2 linked regions of the Oryctolagus cuniculus genome follow. The protein of the gene in region 2 interacts with the protein of the main gene of each other region in a pairwise test. Links are inferred from orthologs where the notes say so. Each region holds a gene or a part of one and is shown on either strand. Other genes may lie near its edges. The genes, in order: VPS4B and ZFYVE19.

What was found.
Region 1: the proteins of ZFYVE19 (region 2) and VPS4B interact in binary tests that used the Homo sapiens proteins (3 or more experiments, as listed by UniProt). The two-hybrid records come from large-scale screens. The link is inferred for Oryctolagus cuniculus from reciprocal best matches to the Homo sapiens genes ZFYVE19 and VPS4B.

What each region holds. Positions count from the first base shown.
Region 1 is NC_091441.1:15,190,346-15,205,454, reverse strand, and holds the start of VPS4B (vacuolar protein sorting-associated protein 4B), read right to left. Parts: upstream 8,884-15,109; 5' UTR 8,547-8,883; coding exon 8,520-8,546; intron 1-8,519.
Region 2 is NC_091443.1:63,947,408-63,962,647, forward strand, and holds ZFYVE19 (abscission/NoCut checkpoint regulator), read left to right. Parts: upstream 1-5,406; 5' UTR 5,407-5,533; coding exon of another isoform or gene 5,534-5,544; coding exon 5,545-5,607; intron 5,608-6,743; coding exon 6,744-6,865; intron 6,866-7,040; coding exon 7,041-7,094; intron 7,095-7,488; coding exon 7,489-7,607; intron 7,608-7,704; coding exon 7,705-7,850; intron 7,851-8,141; coding exon 8,142-8,250; intron 8,251-9,129; coding exon 9,130-9,339; intron 9,340-9,716; coding exon 9,717-9,796; intron 9,797-10,074; coding exon 10,075-10,173; intron 10,174-10,302; coding exon 10,303-10,430; intron 10,431-10,506; coding exon 10,507-10,585; 3' UTR 10,586-10,898; downstream 10,899-15,240. Other genes in the region: DNAJC17 (dnaJ homolog subfamily C member 17), read right to left, coding at 5,070-5,147; PPP1R14D (protein phosphatase 1 regulatory subunit 14D), read right to left, coding at 12,234-12,299, 12,453-12,485, 12,663-12,746. UniProt on the Homo sapiens protein: Key regulator of abscission step in cytokinesis: part of the cytokinesis checkpoint, a process required to delay abscission to prevent both premature resolution of intercellular chromosome bridges and accumulation of DNA damage.

The sequences.
Region 1 (15,109 bases), on a different chromosome or scaffold from region 2:
CACCGGATTCTGTCCCGGTTGCCCCTCTTCCAGGCCAGCTTTCTGCTGTGGCCCGGGAGTGCAGTGGAGGATGGCCCAAGTACTTGGGCCCTGCACCCGCATGGGAGACCAGGAAAAGCTCCTGGCTCCTGGCTCCGGATCAGCGCGATGTGCTGGCCACAGAGTGCCGGCCGCGGCGGCCATTGGAGGGTGAACCAACGGCAAAAGGAAGACCTTTCTCTCTGTCTCTCTCTCTCTCACTGTCCACTCTGCCTGTCAAAAATAAAATAAATAAATAAAATTAAAAAAAACACATACACAATGAGATATCCATATGCATTCATCACAGATGGCTAAGGTAATACAATACCAAATGCCAGTGAGGACGCAGGGAACTCATCACTCCCACATTGCAGGTGGGATGTAAAATGGTGCAGCCACTCCAGGAAACTAGCTGTTTTTGTCTACAAAACTGAACTCACAACTTCTCTATGAACAAGCAACTACACCCCTGGGCACTGGCCCCAGGGAAACAGAGCTTTATGTTCATACTGAAACCTGTACGTGAATGTTCAGATGTCCTTAAGGGCTGCGTGGTTAAACCACGTGGTACACTAGCAAAAGGAATCAATCACCGTTACAAACAACTGGGATGAATCCTGAGGGAATCATGTTAGGTGAAAAAAGCCAACCCTAAAAGGTTACATACTGTATGATTCCATTTATATAATGCCCTCAAAGCGACAAAACTAGAGATGGAGAGCAAATTTGTTCTGCCAGGAGACAGGGATGGTGTATGGAAGACAAAGTGAGGTGGCTGTGGTTATGAAAGGGGAACTTCTTTTTTTTTTTTTTTTTTTTTAATTTTATTTAATGAATATAAATTTCCAAAGTACGATTTATGGATTACAATGGCTTCCCCCACATACCGTCCCTCCCACCCACTACCCTCCCCTTTCCCACTCCCTCTCCCCTCCATTCACATCAAGATTCATTTTCGATTATCTTAATATACAGAAGATCAGCTTAGTATACATTAAGTAAGGATTTCAACAGTTTGCTCTCACACAGAAACATAAAGTGAAAAATAATAGATGATTTTTTTTAAATGATGATGAAATCAGATCAGACCTATTGTCATGTTTAATCCCAGTGAGAGTCAAGTTGGGAATTGATAATTTCTTTTTTTTTTTTTTACAGAGGATCAGTTTAGTATACATTAAGTAAAGATTTCAACAGTTTGCACCCCCATAGAAACACAAAGTGAAATATATTTTTGAGTACTCGTTATAGCATTAAATCTCAATACACAGCACATTAAGGACAGAGATCCTACATGAGGAGTAAGTGCACAGTGACTCCTGTTGTTGACTTTACCAATTGACACTCCTGTCTATGGCATCAGTAGTCTCCCTATGCTCCAGTCATGAGTTTCCAAGGCTATGGAAGCCCTCTGAGTTCTCCGATTCTTATCTTGTTTAGACAAGGTCATAGTCAAAGTGGAGGCTCTCCTCCCTTCAGAGAAAGGTACCTCCTTCTTTGAAGACCTGTTCTTTCCACTGGGATCTCACTCGCAGAGATCTTTTGCCAGAGTGTCTTGGCTTTCCATGCCTGAAATACTCTCATGGGCTTTTCAGCCAGATCCGAATGCCTTTAGGGCTGATTCTGAGGCCAGAGTGCTATTTAGGACATCTGCCATTCTATAAGTCTGCTGAGTATCTCACTTCCCATGTTGGATCACTCTCCCCTTTATTTATTCCATCGGTTAGTGTTAGCAGGTACTAGACTTGTTTATGTGCTCCCTTTGACTCTTAGTCCTTTCATTATGATCAATTGTGAACTGAAATTGATCACTTGGAATAGTGAGATGGCATTGGTACATGCCACCTTGATGGGATTGAATTGGAATCCGAAAGGGGAACTTCTTTATGAAGTGGTCTGTGTCTTGATCATGGTATTGCACATATGAACCTTCACCTGATAGAACTGCACAGGAACACACACACAGGTAAAACTGGGGAAATATGAGTAAGAGCTGTAGAATGCACCAATGTCAATATCCTGGTTATGATACTGTACTAGTTTTACAAGATGTAACTGTGTGAAGGGTACATCGGATCTCTCTATTATTTCTTAAAACTGAATACAAATGTACAATTACCTCAACACAAAATTTTCATTAAAGTTATCCTTGAATTTTAAAACAATGCACAAAACACATACAAATAAAGAAAGAAGCATGATTAAAGCATTCCAATTGGGTTAATTTCGGCAGTAAAAGTGAAATAAATGCAGACAAAAAAGATCATGCTTACCCAATACTAAAAATAAGTTATAATTAATCTAAGTAAAAATCATCAAACAATTTCAAAGCCAATCATACGTCAGAATGATATACTTTTAAGTAGGTGTTCATGGAGTGGATAGGGATGGCACCAAATCTCCCAATGGAGAACCTACTTCCTCTGTTGTGGGAGGAACCACAAGCTAAGTGGTATGCTTTAGAATTGATAAAGTGTAGCAGTTACACTCTCATGGTTCAAACAGTCTGAACACACAGCCAAATTCCTTCCCACAAGCTGAGGCAGCATGGCTCCCTTTCTAGACCTACCCCGGAGACAAGTCCTCAGAGAGGTGCTCCGCAGGTCAGGGACATGCTGCATCCCTGACGTCCCCTCTCCCACACGCTTTTCCCATCGTTACCAGTATATTTATTCTAAACACACTGACCACCTGTACCTTTACTAAGGCGAGCTTCATGAGAACAGGACTCCCATCACCAACCTAATCTGGGCTGGAAGGTGATGGCTACAGTACACAACTGCTGAATGAGTGAAAAAAAAATCCTGTTTTCTCAAAATCTTCCTCTGTTTGGTTATCCCACCTCTGTCATCTCTAAGTTCTCTCCACCAGATATTGTCTCCATCAGGAGACAAATAGTCTTCCCTAAAAAAGACCTATAACTCAGGGTGGTGCTGTGGCACAGTGGGTTAACGCCCTGGCTGACGCACCGGCATCCCATATGGACACCGGTTCTAGTCCTACCTGCTCCTCTTCTGATTCAGCTCTCTGCTGTAGCCTGGGAGAGCAGTGGAGGATGGCCCAAGTCCTTGGGCCCCTGCACCCACACGGGGGACCTGGAGGAGGAGGCTCCTGGCTCCAGCTCCAGATCGGAGCAGCTCCAGCAGTTGCAGCCAATTGGGGAGTGAACCATCGGATGGAAGACCTTGCTCTCTCTGCCTCTCCTCTCTGTATAACTCTGACTTTCAAATAAATAAATAAATCGCTAAAAAAAAAAAAAAAAAGACTAATAACTCTCCATCTTGGATCTGTTTCTCTGCTACCTGTCAGAGCCACAATCTCAACAGCGGAGCCTCTATTCTCTCCTTATCACATCAAGGGACTCTGCGGTGCCAGGCTCAAGGACCAGCTCCGTCTTCACCTTGGTCTGCTGATAACAAGGTCCATCACTTGCTTCCTGGACACTGTCCTCTGCTGAGCCCACTGGCACCATTCTCCTGGTTTTCTTCCTAGCTCTCTGGCAGCTACTTTTCAGTCTCCTCTGTGGTTACATCCTCTTATAGGATGAGGTTTTGCTTGGGGCTCACATTTGCTTACTGTTCCTCCTCCCGCCTGTTGTCTATTTTCAGTGATTCATGGCTGATGATCTCTGGGTTGATGACTACCCAGTTAATTCAATTTAAAACCCATACGCTGAGCAGTTAACATGCCTGCCTCCCACATCACAGTGCCTAGGTTAAATTCCCTGCTCTGGTTTCTAAGTCCTGCTTCTTGATAATGTGGAGCCTGAGGGGCATGGGGACACCTGGGTTCCTACTAGGGGACCTAGATTGCTTTCCCAGCTTCTGGCTTGAGCCCTGGCCAACTCTGGTTGTTGCAGGCATTTGGAAAGTGAAACAAGAGATACCAGCTCTTTCTCTCTTTGTCTCTCAAAATAAAACACAGCTGTCCACATCACTCCTGTTTAAAATCCTTCCAGGCATGTTATCCCTCTCTCTGTGAACCTACGTGGGTTTTATTTTTGTTCTCTCACTGGAATGGAAGCTCTGTAGGGACAGGAGTTATGTCTGTGGTCTGCACTTGCTCATACTCCCAAGACTAGCACAATGGCAAGCATGAGAGTGAATGACTTCACTGCCCCAGGGTCAGGCAGCACCCAGTTATCAATATGGAAGTACAAAGGTTGGGAACATCTGGGACAGCCCTTTCCAGATTAGGAGACCACAGTGCATCTGCCCTAGAAACCCCTGCAAACTGGCTATCTACCTCAGGAGCAAAGATGTGCTAGGGCAGTCAACGCTAATTCTTCTGTGTTTCTGAGCTGGTCCCCACCTTTGCAGCATTTACGCCCTCAATGGCATGCCATGGCATGCTCTCTCCTCAACCTGTCCCTTGTTTGAGAGGTCCTTCCTTATCAGAAAAACATGTGTAGTCCCATTTCAGACTCGTACCTAAAATTCACCAACTCTCTTCAGTTCCCAGGGTCCTTTCTTGCCACCATCTTACTTAGTTCTTCTAAGCAAAACCTCAGAGTACCCCAAATTCATGTTTCTTGAGCTCTTTCGCCACAGCAGTGTTTTCTGCCCTGACTGCCAAATCTCACCTTAATTCCCTCCCTACAGCACTTAACACTAACAACAAACTCTTGGACAGTGTCTCCTCTTTGGCCTTCAGGACAGCATCCTCCCATGATTTTACTGAGCTGTCCACTGCTTGTTTTTCAGATTCCCTTTTCTCTTTCCTTAAATGTCAATATCCCATGAGGTTCTGCCCTGGTCCTTATTTTCCCTCATTCTGTAAACTTTCCAAGATGGGACTCACCATGCCCACAACCTGTGCTACCATCTTTATACTAATAACTCCAAAATCCTTATTCACATCCAAGGCCATTCACCCTAGTTCTACACTTCTGTATTCAGATGCTGATTGGACATTTCCATTTGATTATGCCCATGGGCATTTTATTTTTTAAAAAAAATTGTATTCATTTTGAGAGGAGGACGGGAAGAGAGGAGAGAAAGTGAGTGAGCACCCCACTTGCTGGGTCACCCTGCCCCCACAAATGTCCACAAGGGCTATGGCTGGGCTGAGGCTGAAATCCACAGCTGGGAACGCAATCCAGGTTGCCTTCATAGGTGGCAGAGATTCAGCTACCTGAGCCATCATCTGATGCTTCCCAGGGTCTGCATCAGCAGGAAGTAGAAATAGGAGTCAGAGGTGGGTATCAACCCAAGCACTCCAACATGAGACACAGGTATCTTAACTGTTAGGCCAAATGCTTGTCCTGCTGCACGGACATTTTAAACTCAACAAAAGCTAAAGCTATTTTGCTTCTCTATGTCAGTCCCATAACACTCCTTGATACTTCTCCTTTTGTATTCCACTCAGACATCCAATGCAGAATCCTGGGAGGAAACCCTGCCTTTTCTCTTTCCCTCACAGGCACAAGCCTGACTATCCTCCCCAACTTTTCTCCGACGATACCTTTCTGCTTCACTGAGAAAGGTATTTACGCTAAGGTGGCCCCTTACGTTCTGCCATCAACAGACCCCAACTCCTAACTGGTCTCCCTGATTCCAGTCCAGTTTCTCCCTGTACACAGGACAGTCTCATTCTAAAACAAAACACCTGAGCAGGTTACTCCACTGTTGGAAACCCTTTTATGACTCCCATGTAGAACAGGATGATGACTGTTTATGTGGCACACAAGACTCCTCGTGATAGGGCCTAACCCTCGGGCTTGTGCCCCCACCTTACAGTAAGTCCCAGTCATCCCAAACTACTGGCATGACCTAGTCCAGCTCAGCACGCATGTCTGCCCAGAATGCTCTATTCCAACCCATCCCTGTAAAACTCCAGCTTCTCCAGGGCTCTCCAGGCATGGCACTCTTGCTGCAAAGCTCTTGCTAGCAACCCCTGGACTGCTTTGTCTGCACTTCCTCTAGATTTCCACTGCCCCCTGTACATACCTTCTATGACCACACTATATTCTATTGGTCATCTTATACTTGTATGTCTAGTTTCACATCAGCATGTAAGCCTTCTGAGGTCACAGATTACACACAGACACATACACAACATGGCATTGTGGACACAATATTTAGGATGAGTAAACTTTTGAGTTCTACTTCATCTACATTACTTGCAATTCTCCCCAAAGGATTTATTACACTTTTGGATTGAGGAACAAGTCATTTTTCTCTGCCTGGAAAGCATTCAACTTTTTCAAGAGAGTTCAGTTTTGTAGTGAATTCAGTAGACAGATCTGGATTCAAAACTAACCTACATACTAATACTTGTATGTCTTTGGGTCAACCATAAGCTTAACAAGCTTAGGTTTCTTATACTGTGAGACTCCACCTTGAAAAGTTGTTTTAAGGATTGAGTGAGAGCACATCAAACACCAAACAGACAATTAGTGTTAGCACTGTTCACTTTATCGAAGCGCACATCAGCTCCTCTGTGACATATTCGTCATGTCCTCGGAAGACTGAGATACGTCCTTTCCTTCTGTGCTCCCACACTGACTTCTAACTCTATCCCAGTATTTGTTAAATTACTTTTTATTATTTTGATTTTTACATTATGAGCATCTGGCTACAGAGGTTTCTGCCTTGCTCACTGGAAAGGTTATTCATTATCCGAGTAGTTTTCATTCAAAGGACTTGATGAGGGGCGGGAGTTCAGCCTAGCAGTTAGGACTCCAGTTAAGATGCCCATGTCCTGTACCAGAATGCCTGGATTCAATGCCAGCTCTGGCTCCTGACTTCAGCTTCTTGCTGGTATAAATCCTGCAAGGCAGTGGTGATGGCTCAAGTAAACGGCTTCCTGTCACCTACGTGAGAGGTCTGGTTTGAGTTCTTGGCTCCTGACTTTGATCAGGCCCAAACCCAGCACTTGAGAAGTAAACCAGCAGAAAGGAACTCTCTCCATATATATCTGTCTTCCTCAAAAAGAAAAGAAAGGGTTCAATGAGAAACACAAGAGTGAGTCAACCCCTAATCAAAGCCGTAACTCAACATCCTTCCTGTTTACTACTGGCCTTTAACACCTGTCAAACTCTAGCTGATTCACTGAAGAACATACAACAATCCAATTCAGGTTGATGCATTCTGATTACAGAAGAAAACGGCAAATCTCGCAGAAGAAAGGTATCAGCAAACGGATGAAAATCTCACTGTGGAATGCCCGGATCAGACTCAAAGTTTGTGACAAATGAAAAGCTGACAAAATAAAACTAGTTAACAGACAACCAACGAGGGTGATGACAAGTGTGAACTTAAAATCACCTTTAATACTCAAAGGAACAATATCTTACCAAACAATAGATATTTCTACAAGGTACATTTACCAGAAAGATCGTTTCTGAATGGGGCTATCAAACATCTCCGGATCACGTGGCGACTGCCCCATCTCAGTTTAATACCTTAGTGGAAAAAGACATATAACTTTTTCTTAATTCTAAGAAATGAATGATTCCTGCAATTATAACATTTTGTGAATGCTATAAAGCATTTATTTTCATAATCTTTTGGGTCCAGTTTCAACGTAAACGTCCTAAGCAAGCTCTTCTCCCACGTTCTTGTTTAGATGGGTCTGCTGGGGTGGTCTTCCCTCAGGATGGAGTACCCAGGGTTAAGGAGAGCGCTCTTTACTTTTGGAGTCTGTATCGGGCCCTCAATAAATAAATGCCTGTCCAACAAACTACTGGAAGCCCAAGACGACGACGGAAAGTACACGTCTCATGGGACACTTCTGTACCAAATTGACAGGCAGGACTGGGAGTCCTCCAGGCCCAAGCCCCTCTTAAGTCCCAGATCCATTCTGGGGGTGGAAGACAACGTTACATACATTTCTTATTAAGAATTCCACTCTACAGGCGACTAACGATTGAGTCTCAAATCTTTGAAGTCCATGATTTACGTACAAAATGCTGCGCTCACTGCGGTGAAAGCGAAGAACTGGAGGCACGGAGGTTTACAGATGCCCCCTGTTCTTAAAGATGACAAATGGGGCGTCTCAGAACAGCGCACACGCACACACACGCACACACACCCCGAATTCGCGGCGACTGCACGCAGGCTGGCTGGAACCTCGGATTCCAAGGCTGTGCTCATATTTCTGCCACTTGACAGCTCGAGAAAAGGACTTTGGCTCTATCAGCTCGAGGAACACAAAAAAGTGGGACCACCCTACGCTCAGCCGGCAAAAACTACGTTCCTGCCTCTCTTCTTTGCAGCGATGGGAGACACTGGCCCACTCTGGTCCAAGCTCGGCTGGTGCTTTCCTGTTTCTGTTTCGTTTAGAAGCTCCACACCAAGTCAAGGGTGTCACACAGCCAGTGGCCCAGGAGACCCTCCCAGCCCGCCGGAAACGCCCCCTCGGCTGGAAGGCGCCCACTCCCCGACCAGCGGCCGCGCCCGGCCCCGCCCTCCTCCGCCCGGGCAGGGGCGCGGCCGGTCTTCCCTCCTCCCCGCCCCCCACCCAACTGCTCTAGGGCGGCGCAGGTAGCATGATACCTGGAGATTGGGGCTACTGGATGACATGGTGGAGACGCGAGGCGGTTCCCCGGGGTCCAACGGGGTGCGAGGAGAGCCGAGAGCAGGGACCTCGGATCGTGCCCAGTGTTACGGCCCCACACCTGGGGAAGCTGGTGGCTCTCGGATCACAAGCGAAGGCCTTCTGTCCGGAACTTGTTCTGAAACAACACTGCGCTCGCCAGCACCGGACCCTCTTCAAAACTTCCGCAAACCCGAGCCCCTTCGGATCCTAGTCCCGCCTCTGGCCGGGGCACTTCCGCTTCCGTCATCAACACGCGCTCTACGCAGTCACCACCCTGTCGGCCTCTCACTGTGGCTAGGGACTTCCCAAGAAGTATCCCTGAAGCCAGCCAACGCCTGGCGGAAGTCTGGCTTTGCGCCTGCGCTCTAGAGGCAGAGAGCCAGGCTGCGCGCAAGCGCAGGAGGACTTTCATTAGCCCTCCGGGGTATTGACTTTGCTGGGGAGTGTTTGCTGTGGGGGGCGGGGGAGAAAGAAAAGGAAAGAAAGAGCTGAGCATCAGGAAACCATGAGGATGAATATAATCGGGTTCTTGCTATTTTAGAAGTTTAGTGGAGAAGACACCAAATGGTTCGACGAATTGAATGAGATTTATGGTGATCCGTGTGTGCCAGTCTATTTTAAATGCTGGCTATGAACAAAAAGTGAAAAGAAAAAAAAAACTTTTTTTTTTATTTGTGGATGTGATGTACCCCCTGGGGCCCTGGTGTTCAATGAGAAAGGAACATCACCTTTCCGGCATTATTGCCAAGAATCTGTAATCTCAGGCTAACCCTGAGAAAACACGAGAAAAATCCAGGTCGGAGGTGTTCCTACTACAAAATAGCTAACCAACACGCTTCAAGAAGCGTCTGGGTCGTGGAAGACCAGGGAAGACTGGGGCCGGCCACAGGCTGCAGACGGAGACACCAGTTAAATGCGGTGCTGGAGGAGATGCCGGAAAGAAAAGTATCCGTTGGAAAACTAAAACAGAATAACGTCTGTAGTAGAGCCAGCAGTCCGGGATGGGGATTCTCTACACACTTTTGCAACTCTTCTGTAAATACTGTTTGAAACTAAAAGCTTTTCTTTTTGAAATTCCTATTCCCTGGAACCTTAGATTCTAGTGGAATAGAAACTTTTTTCCTTTCACATATTTAAAACCCAAATGTAAATATGTTACATTGTAACCGTTTACAAAGTACTTTCACGTACTAGCTCTGCCAGTTAGAATTTAAAGCTGGCAGTTCATGTAAATGAGAACTAAACCTCAGATCAATAGAAGTTCCCCGAACCATACAGCTCTTCTCTGGCATGGCTGGTGTCTGAAGTCCATCCAGGGTCAATGTCAGATGAGGCCCTGACAAGAGCTACAATAGAGTCAGGATGTCCCGTGGGGCCACAGGAGAGAGAGTACTCCATCCTGAGCCAGTGGTTAGGGCCATCTTGGAGGAGTGTCATTTAAACCCAGTCTTGGCTGGCATCACGGCTCACTTGGCTAATCCTCTGCCTGCTGCGCCGGCACTGTGGTCTCTAGTCCCAGTTGGGGCTCCGGATTCTGTCCTGGTTGCTCCTCTTCCAGTCCAGCTCTCTGCTGTGGCCCGGAAGGGCAGTGGAGGATGGCTCAAGTGCTTGGGCCCTGCACCCGCATGAGAGACCAGGAGGAAGCACCTGGCTCCTGGCTTCAGATTGGCGCAGCACGCCGGCCGTGACAGCCTTTTGAGGGGTGAACCAACGGAAGGAAGACCTTTCTCTCTGTCTCTCGCTCTCTCTCATTGTCTAACTCTGTCCTGTCAAAAAATAAAATAAAATAAAATAAATTAACCCAGTCTTGGGGCTGGCACTGTGGCACAGTGGGTTAACATCCTGGCCTGAAGTGCCAGCATCCCATACGGGCACTGATTGGAGACTGGGCTGCTCCACTTCCAATCCAGCTCTCTGCTGTGACCTAGGAGAGCAGTGGAGGATGCCCAAGTCCTTGGGCCCCTGCACACATGTGGCAGACCCAGAAGAAGCTCCTGGCTCATGGCTTTGGATCAGCGCAGCTCCAGCTGTTGCGGCCAACTGGGGAGTGAACCAGCAGATGGAAGACCTCTTTCTCTCTCTCTCTGCCTCTCCTCTTTCTGTGTAACTCTGACTTTCAAATAAATAATAAATACATCTTAAAAAAAATAAAAAATAAACCCAATCTTACTGATTTGGACAGACAGGTTTGAGGGCTGGCTGGAAGAAGGAGAGCCATGGCAATGGAGTGGCCAAGGAAGCTTAAAGTGCCCCACCCAGCACCTCCAGATGCCCAAGGCATTGAATCATGAGGAGTTGGACTTGGACTTTACTCTGAGGGCAGAAGGATTTGTTGAGCGGCTCCCCCCTCCCCCATTCCCCATCCTCCTTCCCTGCCTCTCTCCCTTCCTGCCTGCCTTCTTGGCAGAGGTATGATTTGATTTGATTTTGGTTTTATAAAGATGAGTGGACCAGGAAGAGGGTGACGTGGGCAGATCATGTCGGAGGTTGCTGGGGCAGTCACAATGGAGAAATAGAGGTGTGCAGAGCCCTGTAGGGCACCCCTTGTTCCTGGGGCACAGCCCCTCCCTACACTTCCTTGCCTCTTATGCTCAGTTGCTTTCACTGATTCAGCCTGTTAAATAAAATCACACCGATTTTTCAAGTGCCAATTCCAAAGCCACTTCCTCAAGGAGCCTCTGACACTCTCCACTCTGATTGCCCTGTGGACCTTGCACGTCCCACAGGTGATGTGTGCTGATTGCCTAGTACAGCGCCTGGCACTTGGCAGATACTTACTCATTGTCAGCCTCCCTGGCATGTGTCTTGTCTTTCCAGATTGTAAAACCCCCAAGGACTCAGCCTTCGTCTTACTCATTTTTGTAGTTTCTTATGTCCTTACACCCAGAATGTTTGGCTTATATGGCCAAGGTCTGTTGAACACAGCGAAGCTTACCTGCTTGAGAGGGAAATGAGGGAGGCCAGGGAGCAGGCAGGCGGCATTTCAGAGTCAGCTTTCAGCTTGGACTCAAGAGCAGCCTGTTCAGGACTGAATCCCTTTCACTCAGACCATTTTGAAAGGAAATGCGTATTAGAGTCCTCACACAGCCTTGCACTTGGAAGTCAGGTCTCTACTTGTTGTCAGCTCCCTGCCTGATGCGGACAGCAGCCTCGGGGAAGACAGTGCTGGCAGGACCAGTGCTGTGAGAGGAGTGACTCTCAGGCCCTATGTGTTGGGTCTTGACTGGTGGTGGAGCCTTCTGAATGTGCCCAGTTACCCTGCAGGTCCAGCCCCTACTACTCATTTGATTCACGTGAAGAGACAGCCAGCTTGTGGACTGCTGAGCAGGTCTGGGGATCAGCCCTCACCAGCCACCAGCCACGTGCTGTGAGTGGGGAGGAGGTGGCCGTTCCTGCCCGTTGACGACACAGGGTGGGTACAGTGTGAGGCATCCGCCCGGCGGGGAAGATTGCAGACTGACATCATCATCTCCCAGACTGCAAATACTTGGTATCCAAGTAATGTGCCTAAGAAGTTGGTTTCAGGGACTGGCGTTGTGACACAGCACGTCCAGCTGCCGCCTGCATGGCTGGCATGTCATATCAGCACTGGTTTGAGTCCCCGCTGCTCGACTTGCCATCAAGCTTCCTGCTAATGCGCCTAGGAAAGCATTGGAAGGTGCTCCAAGTGCTTGGGCCCCTGCCAGCTATTTGGGAGAACTAGATGGAGTTCCAAGCTCCTGGCTTCAGCCTGGTCCAGCCTTGGCCAGTGTGGCCATTTGGGGAGTGAACCAGCAGATGGAAGATCTCTCCTTTTCTTCCCCTCTTTCTGTAACTCTGCCTTTCAAATAAATAAAATTAAAAAAAAAAAAAGTTGGTTTCAAACACCATTCCCCACTCCTGCCCAACTTTTCTTGTCTTGAACGTCTTTTGTTTCTTCCCACCAAAATGCCTTGTTTGCCCTTGTTTTAGTTTTTGTATTCAAACATCTGTGGCTGAGAGTGCTCCTTCTGTTGTAGAGAGGTGGAGAACTTTCAGGGTATCAGCTGGAAGCTGTATTATTCTGGCTTTTTCCCTTTCAAACTTCTCAGCAAAATGAATTCTAATTCATTGATCTTTGCCAATGCATTAGGAAAAATTGCGTTTTGTAATCTAAAATATGCTTTGCAATGTACTCACAGTTTGCTCCATAATAGTGCAGTGTGGGGTGGACAGGCTGGGAAGATGAGTGTGGCAGTAGTGACAAGGGAGTGGCCAGGAATTGATGATTTCATCTGAGAAAGGTTGTAGAGTTCATTGAACCAGTGAAGTTTTCTATAAGAGGATTATTTTTTAAAAAATATTTGCTTATTTGAAAGGCAGAATGACAAAGAGAGATCGAGAGAGATTGAAAGAGAGAGAGAGAGAGAGAGAATCATCTACCTGCTGGTTCACTCTCCAAATGGCTGCAGTGGGCCAGGGCTGGGCCATGTCAAACCAGGAGCCAGGAATTCCCTTGTGGGTGGCAGGGACCCAAGCACTCAGTTTATCTTCCTCTGCTTTCCCAGGCACACTAATAGGGAGCTGGATTGGAAGTGAAGCACTTGGGCCACCTACTGCTGCTTTCCAACTGGGAACTTCAGCAGGGAGCTGAATCAGAAATGGGGCAGCTGGGACTCAGACCGGCATTCGTACGGGATACCGGCATCTCAAGGGCCAGCTTACCCTATTGCAGCACGACGCAGGTCCCACATGGACCTCTTTATAGTACTGCATTTCCTCAGATTTAAGAAAACATTATATCTTTATTTATTCGAGTATCCTTGTATGTTTCTTAATAGTGCTTTCTTTTGCTTTATATATTTTCTGAACAATTGCTAAGTATTTTATTATGTTACTGTTCTATCATTAATAATATATTTTCTCCTCATATTTTCTAGTGGGTTGTGGTATATATGCAGAGGTTAATTTTGGCTGCTACCTTGTTTCTAATAGATTGTCAATATATGCTCCTAAGTTTCTAGGTCAATAATAAAAACTTCCGCGAACAGTGGTATCTTTGCCTCTTTTTTTCATAAAAATCAAGTTCAAGAGTAGGTATCCTTGTCTTCTTCTTTATTTATTTATTTGACAGGTAGAGTTATAAACAGTGAGAGAGAGACAGAGAGAAAGGTCTTCCTTCTGTTGGTTCACTCCCCAAATGGCCGCCACGGCCGGCGCTGTGCCGATCCGAAACCAGGAGCCAGGAGCTTCTTCCTGGTCTCCCATTCGGGTGCAGGGCCCAAGCACTTGAGCCATCCTCCACTGCCCTCCCGGTCCACAGCAGAGAGCTGGACTGGAAGAGGAGCAGCCAGGATTAGAATCCGGTACCCATATGGGATGCAGGCACCGCAGGTGGAAGATTAACCATGGCGCCGGGCCGTCTTCTTCTTCTAAACTTTATAGTGTCTCATATACAGTCATTTTAAATGTTAAATATGATTGTATTGGTTTTCTATTGCTGCATGACCAACTAGTACAAACTCAGCCACTTAAAAACAACATGCTTTTACTTTCTCACAGCTTCTGTGGGTCCAAGAACAGCTTAGCTGAGTTCTGTGCTCAGGATCTGACAGGGCTGAAATCAAGGTAGAGGCTGGGCTGTGTTCTCATGTTTCTCTGGTTGGAGGTTTATCCAGAAATGGGTATGCTCCCAAGCTCCCTGAGGTTGTGGGCAGAATGCATTTCCTTGTGATTCAGGATGACTGACAGCTTGCTTCTTCAAAGCCAGGAAAGTACACACACACATATGCGCACACACATGCACACTCCTGCGTATGCGCACACATGCACACACGCATGTTGAGTCTCTGATTTCAAGTCTCTGACTTTGGGGAAAGCTCAGGCCCTCTTTTAAAGGGTTCATATGGTTGGTCTGACTCACCAGGATAATTTCCTCGTTGAACTCCAAGCTAATTACATCTGCAAAATCCGCTTAACATTACCTGTATTCTGTTGATTTGAAGCAAGTCACGGGTGCTGCCTGAGCTCCAGACAATGCATGATTCACTGAGGCCACCTTGGTGTGCGTCCCCCATAGTAGTATTTCAGAACATATTTCTATAAAAGAGACCGGAGGAATGAATGCTTTCCTCTTAACAGAAAAGAAATATGTAAGGTTTTATATAGTAAACACTGCATTCACAAGCAACTATAGAATTTTTGTTGGCACTACATATATGTGTATATATATATATTTGTAATTTATGTTTATGAGACTAAGACAACAGTTATCTGTAAAGTGCTACCTTGGGACTCATATGGAGCAGAAGCAATTAATTCAGAAAAGAGGAACTTGTCTCTGAGCCTTCAAAACATGTTGACCAATACTTCTTCCAGCAGCAAAAATAATTTGGACGCAGACGCCCTTGCTGTCCACAGTGATTCTTTCCAGTTGTTGTTGTTTTTCCATACAGGCAAAATTCCCCCAGATCACTGTCACTACATCAACACATAGATCTGGGGAGAGGGTTTGCACTGGAATCACTTATAGTCTATGGACTAGTTTCAGGAGAAGGATCTAGGAGACCCCACTCTCCATCCCCCATCC
Region 2 (15,240 bases):
TGCATGAAGTTTGTATACTTTAAATAAAAGGTTTCTAGGTAAAAAAATAAATTAAATAAATTTTAAATAAAATAAAAATTATTATGTCTTTTAAATAAATAAAACTCATTTTCATTATGAATCAAAATGTTGTAAAAATAATTGTTTTTGGTCTAGTAATTCCATTTAGTCATAAAATAATACTCCTAAGAAAACAATAACTAGGGCTGGTGCTATGGGATAGCAGGTAAAGCCTCCACCTGCAGTGCTGGCATCCCATGTGGGCAGTGGGTCGAATCCCAGCTGCTCGATTTCCAGTCCACCTCTCTGCTATGGCCTGGGAAAGCAGTAGAAGATGGCCCAAGTCCTTGGGTCCCTGCACCCACATGGGAGACCTGGAGTAAGCTCCAGGCTCCTGGCTTTGGATTGGCACAGCCCCGTCCATTGCGGACAAGTGGGGAGTGAACCAGCAGAAGGAAGATTTTTCTCTTTCTCTCTGACTCTCCTTCTCTCTCAGTGCAACTCTGACTTTCAAATAAATAAATAAATCTTTAAAAAAAAAAGAAAACAATAATCACAAAAAGCAAAAACAAAAACATAGCACCTGTGCAGATTGCGCAGTTTGGATGGCCCCAAGTTTCCTTTTCAGGTTGTGGGGTCTCGCTGCAAGGGTCTCTGCAGTGCGGCCGGAGCCATGCCATCCAAGCGCCCGCTACAGTCCTTTCAGGACTTCGGACGTGCTGCATATGGGACAACGGCCTCATCAAGGTGAACAGGAAGCCCCTGAAGATGATTGAGCCACGCGCATGGCACAGTACAAGCTACTGCAGCCTGCTCTGCTTCTGGGCACGGAACAATTTGCTGGCGTGGACATCCATGTCCAAGTGAAGGGTGAAGGGTGGTAGTCATGTGGCTCAGATTCATGCTACCACCAGTCCATCTCCAAACCCCTGCAGCCTGTTACCAGAAATATTTGGAGATCGGGCCGGCACCGCGGCTCAATAGGCTAATCCTCCGCCTGCGGTGCCAGCACACCAGGTTCTAATTCTAATCCTGGTCAGGGCGCCGGATTCTGTCCCGGTTGCCCCTCTTCCAGGCCAGCTCTCTGCTGTGGCCAGGGAGTGCAGTGGAGGATGGAACAAGTCCTTGGGCCCTGCACCCCATGGGAGACCAGGAGAAGTACCTGGCTCCTGCCTTCGGATCAGCGCGGTGCACCAGCCGCGGCAGCCATTGGAGGGTGAACCAACGGCAAAAGGGAGAGCTTTCTCTCTCTCACTGTCCACTCTGCCTGTCAAAAAAAAAAAAAACAAAAAAAAAAAAAAAGGAAAGAAATATGTGGAGATCAAAGACATCTTCATCCAGTATGATGAGGACCTGCTGGAAGCTGAACACCCCACCCCACCCCCGCCACTGCCAATGCAAAAAGTTTGGAGGCCCTGGTGCCGGTGTTCACTACCAGAAATCCTACTGATAAGCCCATCACCAGGATCAGGGGTCAGCTCTATAATATATGGTGGTTGTAGGGCAACATCCACAACAACAAAACAATAATCCTTATTCAGTCAGTCACCCAGCAAGGATTTACTGACCATCTATGAAGGACCAGGCATTGGGTGGGTGTCTGGCACAGGGGTTAAGTCACTACTTTAGACACACATATCCTACACTGAAGTGCCTGGTTCAAGTCCTGATTCCTCTGCCTCTGATCCAGCTTCCTGCTACTGCACCCTGGAAGGCAGCAGATGCTGGCTCAAGTACTTGGGTCCCTGCACCCACATTTGAGAACTGGATGTAATTCTAGGCTCCTGGCTTCTGCCTGGCACAGCCCGGGATGTTGTGGGCATTTGGGAAGTGAACCGGCAGAGGGAAGATCTCTCTTTGTTTTTCAAATACAATGAAAATACATAAACATAAAAAAAAATGCAGTCATCTGGGAAGTGAACCAGGGGATAGAAGATCTCTCTAATTCTGATTTTCAAATAAATAAATAAATCTTTTTTATAAAAAAGGAAAGAAATGTTGCTGAGGATACAAAAAAATAGAAGCTCATATGCACTGTTGGTGGGAAGGCTGAATGTAAGGCAGTTCCTCAAAACGTTAATCACAGAATTACCACGTGACTCAGCACTTCCACTTCTGGATACACCCCAAAGAATTTAAAGTGGAAAGTAAAACAGATCCGTACACCCACGTTCATACTAGCATTACTCACATCAGCCAAAAGGTGGAAACAACCTAAATGTCCATCAACAGATGAACGAATAAAAAAAATGTGGTACATTTGGGGCAGGCATCATGGCCCAGCATATTAAGCCACCCCTTTTTTAAAAAATTAAAAAAAAAAAAGATTTATTTTAAATGAAAGAGTTACAGAGAGAGGGAGAAAGAGAGAGAGAGAGAGAGAGAGAATGAGAATCTTCTATCTGCTGGTTCACTCCCCAAGTGGCTGCAATAATAGAAGCTGGGCGGATCTGAAGCCAGGAGTCAGGAGCTTCTTCCAGATTTCCCAAGCAGGTGCAGGGGCCCAAGGACTTGGGCCATCTTCTACTGCTTTCCCAGCCCATAGCATAGAGCTGGATTGGAAGTGGAGCAGCTGGGACTCAAACTGGTGCCCATGTGGGATGCCGGCGCTGTAGGCCAGGCTTTTAACCCGCTGTACCACAGTGGCAGCCCCATTAAGCCACCTCTTGCAACATCCACATGCCTTATCAGAGGTGCCAATTTGAGTGCCAGTTGCTCCACTTCTGATCCAGCTCCCTGCTAATGTGCCTGGGAAGTAGCAGATGACAGCCCAAGTACTTGAGTCCCTGCCACCATGTGGGAGACCCGGATGGAGTTTCTGGTTCCTGGCTTTGGCCTGGCCCATCACCGGCTATTGCAGGCATCTGGAGAGTGAACCAGTGGATGGAAGATTTCTCTGTCTCTTGCTGTCACACTCACCCTGTCACTCTACCTTTCAAATAAATAAATAAATCTTTTTAAACTTTTTGAATTTTTTTTTTGTTATTGAGTTGTGTTTGTTTTTACAATCTTGGAAAACCTGAAAAGCATTCTTAATTCATTTTTTAAAAAGGCCATTGGCCATTGGATCCCTAAAACCACAGTTCGCCTTACTCCTTCATTTTCCATTTGGGGAAAGTCAGGACCTGAGAGAGACAGTGACCGCCCCCAGTCTCCTGATTCTCAAGTCAAGCTGCTGCAGTGATCTCTGTAGCTGCTACATCATTCACTAAACAAATAGTTCCCGAGAGCCTACTATGTATTAGTCATCATCTACCAGACCGGAGCACAGAGGGGAGTATGCACGAGACGAAGAATCACACAGATGAACAAATGGTTGCCAACTGAAATAAGTGCCGGAAAGGAGAACTGGTTACTAAGAAACAGGGCCACAGGCTGGGCCTCCATGGGGATGCCACCACGTTTCAAGGCCTACCTTCTATGACTTCCTAGCTTGTGCTCTAGACAAAGTGGACTATACACACTGTCTCCTTTATTGGAATGCCAGTCTTCCACCTCCACCTGTCCAAATCCTGCCCCCTTTTCAAAGCCTCAAATGCCTTCCCTACTTTCCCACCTCTTCTCCCAATCCAGAAGCAATCCTGGCCTACTCTGAACATGCATAGCATTTTGCTTTATCTGTCTTGTGGAATGCACCACGTGCCCCTTGAATTAGTTGTGCATGGAAATTGCCTCCCCTACTAAAAGGCAGCAGTGGCTGTCACCCTTCATGCAGAGCCTTCTCTCATATTCTTATCTCACCTGAGTGAGAACTCTCAGCAACCAGTGCCCAGCTTAGTCTGTTGCCTGGACAACAGCCACCCACCACTGCCCTCCAGGGCCATTCCGCACACCGATGTTGAACATTTTACCGAAAATCCTATTATGTGACCACTCTGATTAATACTATAATACACTTCAACGGTTCCCAGTTGTCTTCCTCAAGAGTTCTCAACTTCAGGGTTCCAAACTCCAGATTTCACACTGGCTGGGTCTTGTGTGAAATGTCCCAAATATTTTCTCACTATTAATAAAGTACTAGTTATACAACTTACAAATATAGAGTACTTGGAATACTGTCTGGCATACAGTAAGCATTACACAGGTGTTAGGCACAACTAATACTGAAATATTAAGAATTATAAGAGGTGGAGCAGGTGCTTTCGGCCTGGGTAGAACATCCCCACAGCCACTCTAGATTTCAGCTGCAGCTGCAGGAGACAGTTCTGAGCAGGATGGCAACACCTCTTCTCAGGGACTCTCTAGGTCTCCTGGCTTCTCCGCCCCAGTTTCCTCTTCTCAGAGCTCGCTCAGCCCCTGAGCAGGGAAATCCGGAAGTACAGGGGCAGAGTGGGCTTTAATTTTCATCCCATCAATTATCTGCCTCTCCTTGCTACGGTGTTAGAATTACTACCGCGATGCGGGGCGATAAGCCTCTGCTTCATCACGGTTTCACACCCTGGCACCTTCATCAGCCCCCATGGGAAGAGGAACCCCAGGCCACCCGCCTTGCCCTTCTGACCCTTGCTTTCTTGGCCCATTTACTAGCAGGTGCTGTGAAAGCCAATACCTGAACACCTGCTACTTCGAAAGCGCCCTTGGGCTAGAGTGGGTCAAAGGCCACACCGCCAAGAAGTGATGAAGTGGGAGTGGAGAAACCTCGAGGGCTGACCTTTCTTCCACTCCAGGTGGAGCTAAATCAGCCTGCCAAAGAGACTGAAACGAAGCGCCTTTAGCCACAGCCAAGCCCGAAGCGGACGCGGAGGCTGAGACTGCGCAGGCGCAGAGAGGAGGCTGGGCCTCCCCCACCCCGCAGGCTCACCCCGCGGCCTCTCCCACGCAGAAGCCACAGGGCGAGCATGGACACTCGTCGCAAGGACACCTCTGTGCTCCCCGTCCCCTCCCCGTGAGGTTCTCAGAGCGTCCAGGAAAGGTCTGGGGGCCCACCTTGCGAGCTCGTCGGGCAGCCCCTCGCTCCCCGCCCAGGGCCCGGCCGAACCTGGAAAGCAGGTACCCGCGGCGAGCGAGGCGCCAGCACAGGAAGGGCCTCCAGACCGCTCAGGATCGGCCTTCTTCTCCACCGTTCTCACCTCTTTGTCCGCCGCCTTCTCTTCAATACCTAGTAGCGCGTAGAGGTCCATCTGTAAGAGCTCCTTGGTGACCGCCATGGTTCCAGCCCTGACTTGACTCGTACTACAACTCCCAGGAGTCTAAGCGCACGCAGGGCCTGCCGGATGCGAGCGGGCCAGATGGCGCTTAGCCTCTTGGGAATTGTGTTCTAGGTTCGGCTTGACTGGCTCTGGTGGAGGTGGCAGTCATGAAAGGACTACGATTCCCAGCAGCCCCGCACTCGCCGCCGCCCCGCCGCCGCCGCCGCCGCCGCCGCTCCCTGGCTAGTTGGTAGAGCGGGCGTTCTGAGTCCCCGCCCCAGGCCACAGCCCGATCGCTTGAAGGGGGCGTGTGGGGCTAGGCGACGTAGGGTGAGGGTCCCAGGGGCCCTGGACCGGGTGGGCGTGGCCTCCACTTTGCAGATCGTGACGCGCCGGGATCCACGATGGAGAACAGATGCTACTGCTGCGCTGTCAAGTTCACCCTCTTCAAGAAGGAGGCGAGTCTTCTCTCTCCGAGGTCTGAAGGGCCAGGGAGGACGCGGAGTGCGGGGGAAAGCACGGGACTTGCAGTCCGAAGACTTGGTTTCAAGGCCGCTTTCCAGCTGTGTGGTTTTGATGACATCATTGAATCTGTCTCCCAAGTGGGGCTCTCACTCTCACTCTCGCGTTCGGGGTTTTCGTGAGGGTCCAGTGAGTTGCTGTAGATGAACGTAGCCTATAAGTTGTTAAGCACGCTGCTGCCGTTGTTGGAAAGTTGTGCCTTTCCGCCTGGTGTAGAGTCTGGCTGTTTCCCTCTCACCATCCGATCTTGTGTAATGCCCGGTGACCCCGTGTATCACACCGTGCCAGTTAGTGCCATCCCGCAGCCTGCACTTACCCCCCCCCCCGCCCCCACCCCCAGGGCGCGCGGGGGAGGCTCTCTTGTCCTCAGCACTGATCTGCTAAGTTCCCCTGGTTAAGTGCAACCTCGGTTGTGGCCAGGGCACCTCAATCAGGAAGTGATGGAAACAGATGGGCTGCATGGATGGCACCGAGGGAAGCAGACCTACAGTAGATGCCTGGGTTTGGGAGTCAAGGAGCTCTGCTGGCTCCTTCACGGGGTGACTTTGGGCACCCTCTCTGCCCCCTCTAAACTAGTGGTGACACTGGTGGCCATCAGGATCAGGTCAGATGACGTGTGTGTATCGTTGAGGATTCAGCCAGATGATGAAAGCTACGTGCTGAGCTTAGTGCCTGGCACACAGTAAGTGCTTAATAAATGCAAGCTATTGTTATCCCCCCATCCAGAGCCAAGTTGCCCTCTGGAGCAGAGAAGGCGGAGGCCGGGAACTCTCTCATTGTCTTTGTGAAAGAATCCCATGGCCCTAAGCAAAGGGCTTTGCCTGGCCGTCTTTTGGGTGCTGTGTCAGGGAATCGAAGACATCAGAAAACAGGGGATTTTGCATGAAGCTTTATTTTATTTGAGTGAGGCTGGAAACCGAGCAATTGCTTTCCCCTTCACCCCTGTCTCCCTACACCTTAGGGACCCCACTCCTCTTCCTCCTCCAAGCAGCCCGTCACAACTTCAGTGTCTCCTCTCTCCCTCTCTCTGTGCTTGGAGAGCCTTCGGGGTACGGGCGGGAGGAGGATCCTCCTGCTTTGTGTTTCTTGTAGTGTGGCTGTAAGAACTGTGGGCGAGCCTTCTGTTCCAGCTGCCTTCGCTTCAGCGCAGTGGTACCTCGTGCTGGGAATACGCAACAGAAAGTCTGCAAGCAGTGCCATGAGGCCCTCACCAGGTAGGAGGCCTGGCTGGGCGAGGAGCCAGCCTGGCATGGCAGCGGCATAAGCCAGCCCTCACAGCCTCGTGCTCTGCGGCTGGAGGTCACCCAGGGGGTGTCTGAGGGCAGTGGACACTGACCGGTGGGGTGGCAGGACTTCCGACACTAAATTTCTTGATTTTTTTCTCTATAGTGGGTCTTCTCCTGCCAATGCTTCCAAGTGGTCACCACCTCAAAACTATAAGAAGTAAGTGTCAGGTTTGGAATAGCTTGGGATTCTGGCCTTTCGTCGCCCCAGAAAGGAGAGACAGAAAAAGGAGATGGAGCCAACGGGTGGGCCTCCCCTCCCAGCCTCCAGATCAGACGAGCATAGGGCCAGGAGGTTGCCCCCTCTCAAGCCACTGTGCTCAGAGAACAGCCCATCATCTTCTTCTGGGAAAGGCCCTTGGTGGCTCTCTCCCTCTCAGACCCTCTGGCCGGTCGGCTGGCTTGGGCAGCAGGGCAACACAAGCAAGGACCACAGGAGACTGCCCATCCGAGGCCTCCCTAGGTGCCCAGAGATGATCTGAACTGGAAGCAGTCAGTGGGTGCCTTCACTCCTCCCTTCTGCCTCTCTGAGAGCCTCTCTCATATCCTGCCAGGCGCGTGGCAGCCCTGGGAGCCAAGCAGGAGTCCAGCACCCTCCGGAGCCAAGGACTCACCCAGCAAGACCAGGTCATCGCTGAGCGCCTGGCCCGACTCCGCCAGGAGAACAAGCCTAGTGAGTGGGGGCAGGCAGGAGGCCTAAAGGACATGGTCCAAGGCCTTGACACTGGGGTTCCTCCGGTCCTTACCTGGGTCCTCCACGCCTATTACAGAGTCGGTGCCCTCGCAAGCTGAGATAGAGGCACGGCTGGCCGCGCTCAAGGATGAACCCCAGGGCTCCATCCCTTCCACCCAGGAGATGGAGACACGGCTTGCTCTACTGCAAGGCAGAGCTCCGCCTTCTCAGACCCCCAAGCCGGTGAGTGCTACAGCCTTGCAGGGAAAGTTTCCCAGGCCAAGGGCCTGGCAGGAGCCCGGATATGCTTATGCCCACCTCTACCTTCTGAGCCTCGGGCATGGGCAGCAGGACCGGGTGGAACAGGACAGAGAGGACCCTCTGTCCTGTTGGGGACCGCCAGTCCTGCTTAATCAGCACGCCCTGGATTCGGCTCCTTGCCCTGGGCTCTGGTCCAGCCCAGGCTGATTCTCGGCCATTCTGTGTGGCTCTCTCCCTACCTCACTCCCCACTGAGCTCCCCTCGTCTGGGCAGGCACATCAGGGCCCAGACATCAGGACACAGGCCCAGCAGACACAGGACCTGCTAACGCAGCTGGCAGCTGAGGTGGCTATTGATGAGCGCTGGGAGCGAGACAGCCCAGGTAAGCCCTGCATTGGCTCCCTGGGGACCTGCCTCCCCTCCTTCCCCAGGTGAATGTGAATTGGGGGAAGGGACACTCGCCGGAGCAGCTGCCGTTTCCTGCGTGCTTGCCCGAGGAAGCCAGGGTTAGCCTGGTCGTTAAGGGTGTGGACTTTAGATCAGCGCTTCCCGGTTCTGCCACACACTAGCTCTGGGAGCCTAGGCGTGTGTCTCTCACGGCCTCAGTCTCACTTTACTGTCAGGAAATGGAGGTATGGCCATTGCAACCGACTTCACAGTGTGTACATGAGATAATCCAGCAGTGCTGGGGACCACACATAGTAAGTGCTCAGTGGTTGTTCTGAGATGAGGATCATGACGACGACAAGGAGGTGCAAGAGACTATTTAACTTTAGCTTTATTAAAACTAAATAAAATGCAAAATTGGCTCATGGCTCCCATCATGTACGTGTAGGCAGAGAACCTGCAGAATGACGCTTCCATCGTCATAGAATATTCTGTTGGATGGTGCTGCTTAAAGCCTTCAGAGCAGTGGTTCTCAACCTGGGATGACGTCACATCCCAGAGCATTCTTTTTTTTTTTTTTTTTTTTTTTTTTTTAAGATTGATTTATTTATTTGAAAGGTGATTACAGAGAGAAAGAGAAAGAGAGATTTTTTCCTGGCCAAGGTCCACACGTTAAAATGTCAGGTGAATGGGGGTGGCGGTGGTGGAGAAAGACAGTTGGAACAGAGGAGGAAACACCAGTGTATTTGAAGATGGACCACAGACACTTGTGCTGAGCAGAAAGCTGGTGATGGTGGTTAAGTAGTTGAGGAATGGGCTCGGTGAGGAGAGGACCTGGAAAGCCTCGGCTCCCTGACCACGTTACTCCTTCCAGCTGCCTGTCCCCAAAATGACCTCAACCAGGGTGGCCCAGGGAGCCAGAGCACTCGTCCCCAGCGGCAGGCCAGCTCATCCCTGGACGAGGAGAAGAGCAGGCTGCTGGCCGAGGCAGCCGTGGAGCTACGGGAGGAGAACACGAGGCAGGAGCGGATCCTGGCCCTTGCCAAGCGGCTGGCTGTGCTGCGGGGACAGGACCCGGAGAGAGGTAAAGGCTGGCGCTGCTGCCCTGCCAGGGCTCGCTCGCTGCTGGTGTCCGTGTGCCCAGAGCTGCGTCATGCCCTGCCTGGAGGCAGAACTGGGGCAAAGCAGTGACTGAGGAATCAGTGGCAGCCATCAGGGTGGGGCCTCTGGTCCATATGGGCACTGAGGCAGAACCAGCTCCACCCCCAGCCCTCAAGGCCACATCACTGATGGCCCGGTTCTGCCTGTTAGGGCACCGCTCTGATTAGAGGGGCTGCGGAGGCTTCTCAGCTCCGGAACAGGTGCCCCGGGAACCAAACCAGCCGCAGGAGGCAAGCAGTCAGCCACTCAGGTGGAGTCCCCGGCCCTCACTCCCCCTTTCTGGCCCCCTCCCACTTCTAGTGACCCTACAGGACTACCGCCTTCCAGACAGCGACGACGATGAGGATGAGGAGACAGCCATCCAGAGGGTCCTGCAGCAGGTGGGTCAGGCTCACCTCGTCCTGTCTCTCTGCCTCCTTGTACACTACCCACTGGGCCCTGTTCACCCTGCCTCCACCTGCGGGCTGCATGCGCAGCCACCCTGGCTCCCAGCCCCCTGGGGACTCCACTGGCCCTCTGACCCAGACCTGGCCCCTCGTCCCTTGAGATGGGAATCAGCAGCTACTGCCGATAGATCAAGGAAGATGGGCTGAGGGGGGAGGCAGAGGGGGAGCCTGGGCGCGGGGCCGGGAGTGGGACCTCTTTGCCCTACACACAGCTCACTGAGGAAGCGGCCCTGGATGAGGCAAGTGGCTTCAACATCCCCGCACGGCCGGCTCCCCGACCCCGGGCCCAGGCCCGTAGGGCAGAGCCTGAGGTAAGGAAACCCCCCGACAGCCGTGCGCCATGCAGCCCAGCCTTGCTCCCTGCCTGGCTGACTGCTCCCCCAGCCGCCTCCCAGACTGCATCAGGGACCTTCCTGCCCTGTCCCCTCTGGTCCCTGAAGGCGCAGGCCAAGGCCACCACGCCTGAGGCTGAGGACGAGGAGCTTCCCTGGTGCTGCATCTGCAACGAGGATGCCACCCTGCGCTGCTCAGGCTGCGACGGAGACCTCTACTGTGCCCGCTGCTTCCGGTGGGTGCAGACACCACGTCCTGGGGAGGGCTCGGGAGCCACCCTGGGTCCCTGACCTGCACCCCTTCCTTCTCAGGGAGGGCCATGATGCCTTTGAGCTAAAAGAGCACCAGACATCTGCCTACCGGCCCCCGCACAGGGGCCGAGTGCACTGAGGACACCCGGGCCTCCTGGGAAAGCAGAACTACAGGCTGCCACACCCACCTCCGGGCCCGGCCTCGGGGCGTCCATGGCAAGAGCGGCATGAAGGCCACAGCCCTCCCTGAGCCTCCCAGCCCCTGGAAGCATGTAGGTTCTCCATCAGAGACAGCGACTGGAGGAGCGGAAGGGAGGCGAAGGCCAGACTGGAAGTGAAAGGCCCAACAGGGAAAGATCAGATCTCAGGAGCAGCCCTGGAACCTGGCTCCAGGGCCCCAGGGCCAGCCGCTGGCATCTAGTGGCTCTAATAAAGTGTGTTGATTCATTGCATCCGGTATCTCTTCTCTCAGAGAGGCGAGAGGCGGCCTGAGTGTGGGGCAGGGTATAAAGGCAGTCCTGTGGAATGAAGGAGCCGTCCTGTTAGCTTCTCCAGACAGGAACAGTCCCACCCACCCTGGTGACCGCCTACTAAGTAAGCATGAATATTCAGGCACCTGAACTGTGCTTCAGGCTCTGGGCAGCCCAGCTTAGCCACCAGGCCGCACCATCTTGGATCTCTGCTTCTCTGGTACTCAAACCATGCATACATACCTGCTTCCTGCCTCGGAGGAAGTTCCATTCCAGCCTGCCTGCCACCCAGATCTGGTGTCTGTCTTCCAACAACTCCCCTGACCTCAGTCTGTACCCTTCACCTTTCTCTGCATCACCCAGGTTTTTCTCTTCCTGCCTCCAGCTGGAACCAGCTCAAAGGAGAGTTCTTAGCCTAAGACTTCTTGCCTCATTTGTGAGAACAAGAAGGTCTGGGGTGGGCTTTTGCACAGTGGTTAGGCTGCTGCTTGGGATGCGATGCCTACATCGCATATTGGAGTGCCTGGTTCAAGTCCCCAGCTCTGCTTCTGATCCAGCTTCCTGCGAATGTGCCCCCTGGAAGGCAGCAGGTGATGACTCAAATCCTTGGGTCCCTGCTGCACACCTGGGAGACCTGGGCTGAGTTCTGGGCTCCTGGCTCTGGCTTGGCCCAGCACTGGCTGTTACAGGCATTTGGGAAGCGAACTAGCAGATGAAGATCTCTTTCTGTCTCTCTGCCTTTCAAATAAAGTGAAAATGATTAAAATTTTGTTTAAAAAGAAGTTTAGCCTTCTCTGAAGCCCCAGATTGAGCTAGATTTTTCCTGTTACTCCATTCTGGGATACGAAGCTAGTCCTTGCCACTTGGGCCCTCCCATTGGCGATGCCAGTATGCTGTGTGTTGGCTCTTGGCATGGCCCCTGGGCCTCGCTGGATTGTGATCTCTCTGCAGCAGAGCTGTGACTGTCCTCTTTGGATGGATGGATGGATGCAGTGTGGGGCACAGCCTTGTGACTTAGGATGCTGGCATTCCAAGGTATCACTGCACCCTCTCCCTCCCCTCTTCCTCTGCACAGAGATGCTCCACACTCCATTTAGCTGATGCTGCTAAAAGTTTTATCCATTTGGCAGCCAAGAAAAGCACTGGGGAACAGCCATAAGTGGCTCTCGGAGCCCAGCCAACAGAAGCCAGCTGTGTGCACATGACCGGGTGTACAAATGTCCCTCCTTGTCCTCGGTGTCCCTTGCCCATGTCCTGGGGCGCTGTGTCCCTCAGCTGTGATGCAGGGAGGCCTGGCAAAGCATCTTGTCTCCAGGCTTATTTCTGAGGCCGGCTGAGTCTCCGGAATTTCTTGAGTTGGCTGAGCAGCTCTGAGATGAAAGGCTGAGGAAGACACATGAGGGACAGCAGGCGTGAGGTCTCATGTGCCGCACTGCCCTCCTTAGCTCCCCACAGCAGGGGAAGGACCAAGGCGCCTGGGCCAAGCCTCGCCCTCCATTAGCTCCCTTCTCCCACCGCCAGCAGCACATCCCTTACCTCCGTGGGGCGGGGACAGTTTCGGAGAAGGTCCTGGGTGGGAAAGAGCAGAGATGGGGTCCCTGAGCCACAGTGCTTTCGCCCGAGCCCCCCACTCAGTTGCCTAAGAATTCTGCCCTCTGAACTGGGACTTCCCACTCCAACCAAGTAGGCAGAGCCTGGGTTCCTGGACTGCCCTGGATGGGAGCCCAGCTTCCACCCCGAGCCTACCTCCAACTGAGTCTTCTGCTCCTCTGTGGAGAGTTCCATGAGAGCCTCCAGGTCAATCTCAATGTCAGCAGTCACTGACTCATCCTGTTTGGGAATCGCAAACAAGTCTCAGAGGGGCCTGACCAGCTGGTGTTGGAGTGGAGGTTATGGTCAGGGGTTCACCCATCTCCCACCCCATCTCCCTTGAATTTCCCACATCACCCGCCAATTTCCTCCCACATTCAGCCCTTTTCCTCACCTTACTCAGAAAGTAAAAGTACTTTAGGGCCAGCACTATGGCACAGTAGGCCAAGCCTCTGCCTGTGGTGCTGGAATCCAGTATGAGTACCAGTTCGTTTTCTGGCTGTTCCTCTTCCAATCCAGCTCTCTGCTATGACCTGGGAAAGCAGTAGCAGATGGCCCACGTGCTTGGGCCCCTGCACCTGCATGGGAGACCCGGAAGAAGCTCCTGGCTCCTGGCTTCAGGTTGAGCTCAGCTCTGGCCATTTGGGAAGTGAACCAACAGATGGACGATCTCTCTGTCTCTCCCCATCTCTGTCTGCAACTCTACCTCTCAGATAAATAAATAAAGCTTTAAAAAAAACCCTTACTTTTCTATTCAGCAAACATTTACTGAACTCCTACCATCTTCTACCTGAAATAGTGCTTTACAGAGTATCCAGGGGTGTGTGATGTGGGACAGCAATCAGATCACGGCTTCAGATGCCCACAGCCCACGTTGCAGTGCCTGCACTGGGGCCTGCCTAGTGTCCAATTCCAGCTTCCTTCTAATGTGCACTCTGGGAGGCAGAAGGTGATGGCTCAAGAACTTGGGTCCCTGTCACCCATGTGTGGGGTCCAGAATGAGTTCCAGGCTCCTGGTTTCAGCCTGGCCCAACCCTGGATTTTGTGGGCATTTGAAGACTGAACCAGCAGAAGGAAGATCTCTCTCTCCTACCCTCTTCCTCTCCCCGGTCCCCTTTTATCTTTGAAATAAAATTAATTTAAAAATTTTTGAAGACTTATTTTATTTATTTGAAAGGCAGGGTTACAGAGAGAGAGAGGGAGAAACAGAGAAAGGTCTTCCATCTGCTGGTTCACTCCCCAAATGGCTGCAATGGCCAGAGCTGGGCCAAGCCAAAGCCAGGAGCCAGGAGCTTCCAGGTCTCCCATGTGGGTGCAGGGGCCCAAGCACTTGGGCCATCCTCTGCTGCTTTCCCAGGCCATAGCAGAGAGCTGAACTGGAAGTGGAGCAGCCAGGACTCGAATCAGCGCCCATATGGACTGCCAGCACTGTAGGCCATGGCTTAATCCACTATGCCACAACCTCGGCCTCCAATTAAAATTTTTAAAAATTAAAGAATAAAAAGAGCACCTACATTTAATATCAAAATTCTATATATTGGTGATAAGTGTAGAATGCTGTACCTGATTTGAAAAACACCCTGACAGTTCCTTACAACATTAAATACAGTTACTGTGTGCTGTGTGACCCAGCAATTCCACTCCTAGGTCTGTTCCCAAGAAAAATGAAAACAAAAGTCCACACAAAAACTTGCACAGGAATGTCACGGCAACAGTACTCATCGTAGCCAGAAAGGAAAACAACCAAATGTCCATCAACTGACGAATGAGTGAATAAAATATTGTAAAACTTTACAATATCACTTGATGATACAAAGGTATGAAGTGCTGATGCAAGTTACAGCCCAAATTAACCTTGAAAACAGGCTAGTGAAAGAAGCCGGTTACAAAGGGCCACGCGTTACATAGGTCAATGTGTAGACAATGTCCAGAAGAGGAAAACCTACAGAGACAGGAAGGTGAGTGGTGGCCGAGGCCTGAAGGTGGTGGTGGGAGTGGGGTGGGAGCACTAGCACGCGTGGGGTTTCTTCTGGGAGGAGAAAATGTTCTAAAATGAGATTGTGAGTAACTCCCGTGAAGACCAAAAAATGGTGAAGCCGACGCTTGAGGTAGGTGAACTCTACGGCATGCGAGTCATGTCTCAGTAAAGCTGTTCGAGCTGGGCGTTTGGCCCACAGCCCGGATCAGAGTGCTTGCATTTATAAACCCGCTCTGGCTCCGGTTCCAGCGTTCTGCTAATGCAGACTCTGGCAGGCAGTGATGGCTCAAATAGTTAGGTTCTTGCCACCCACGCGGGAGGTGTAGATTTGAGTTCCTGGCTCCCAGCTTCAGGCCAGCCCAGCCCAGGCAGTCACAGGAATTTGAGGAGTGAACGAGCAGGTGGGAGTTTGCTCACTTTATCTCCCTTTCTCCCTTGCAAATAAACAAATAGTTCCTCTTTTTTTTTTTTTTTAAGATTTATTTATTTGAAAGTACACAGAGAGGAGAGGCAGAGAGAGAGAGAGAGACAGAGAGAGAGAGAGAGAGAGAGAGAGAGAGAGAGACAGGTCCTCCATCTGATGGTTCACTCCCCAATTGGCTGTAATGACCGGAGCTGTGCCGATCCAAAGCCAGGAGCCAGGAACTTCTTCCTGGTCTCCTACACGGGTGCAGGGGCCCAAGGACTTAGGCCATCTTCTACTGCTTTCCCAAACCATAGCAGAGAGCTAGATTGGAAGTGCAGCAGCCGGGACTA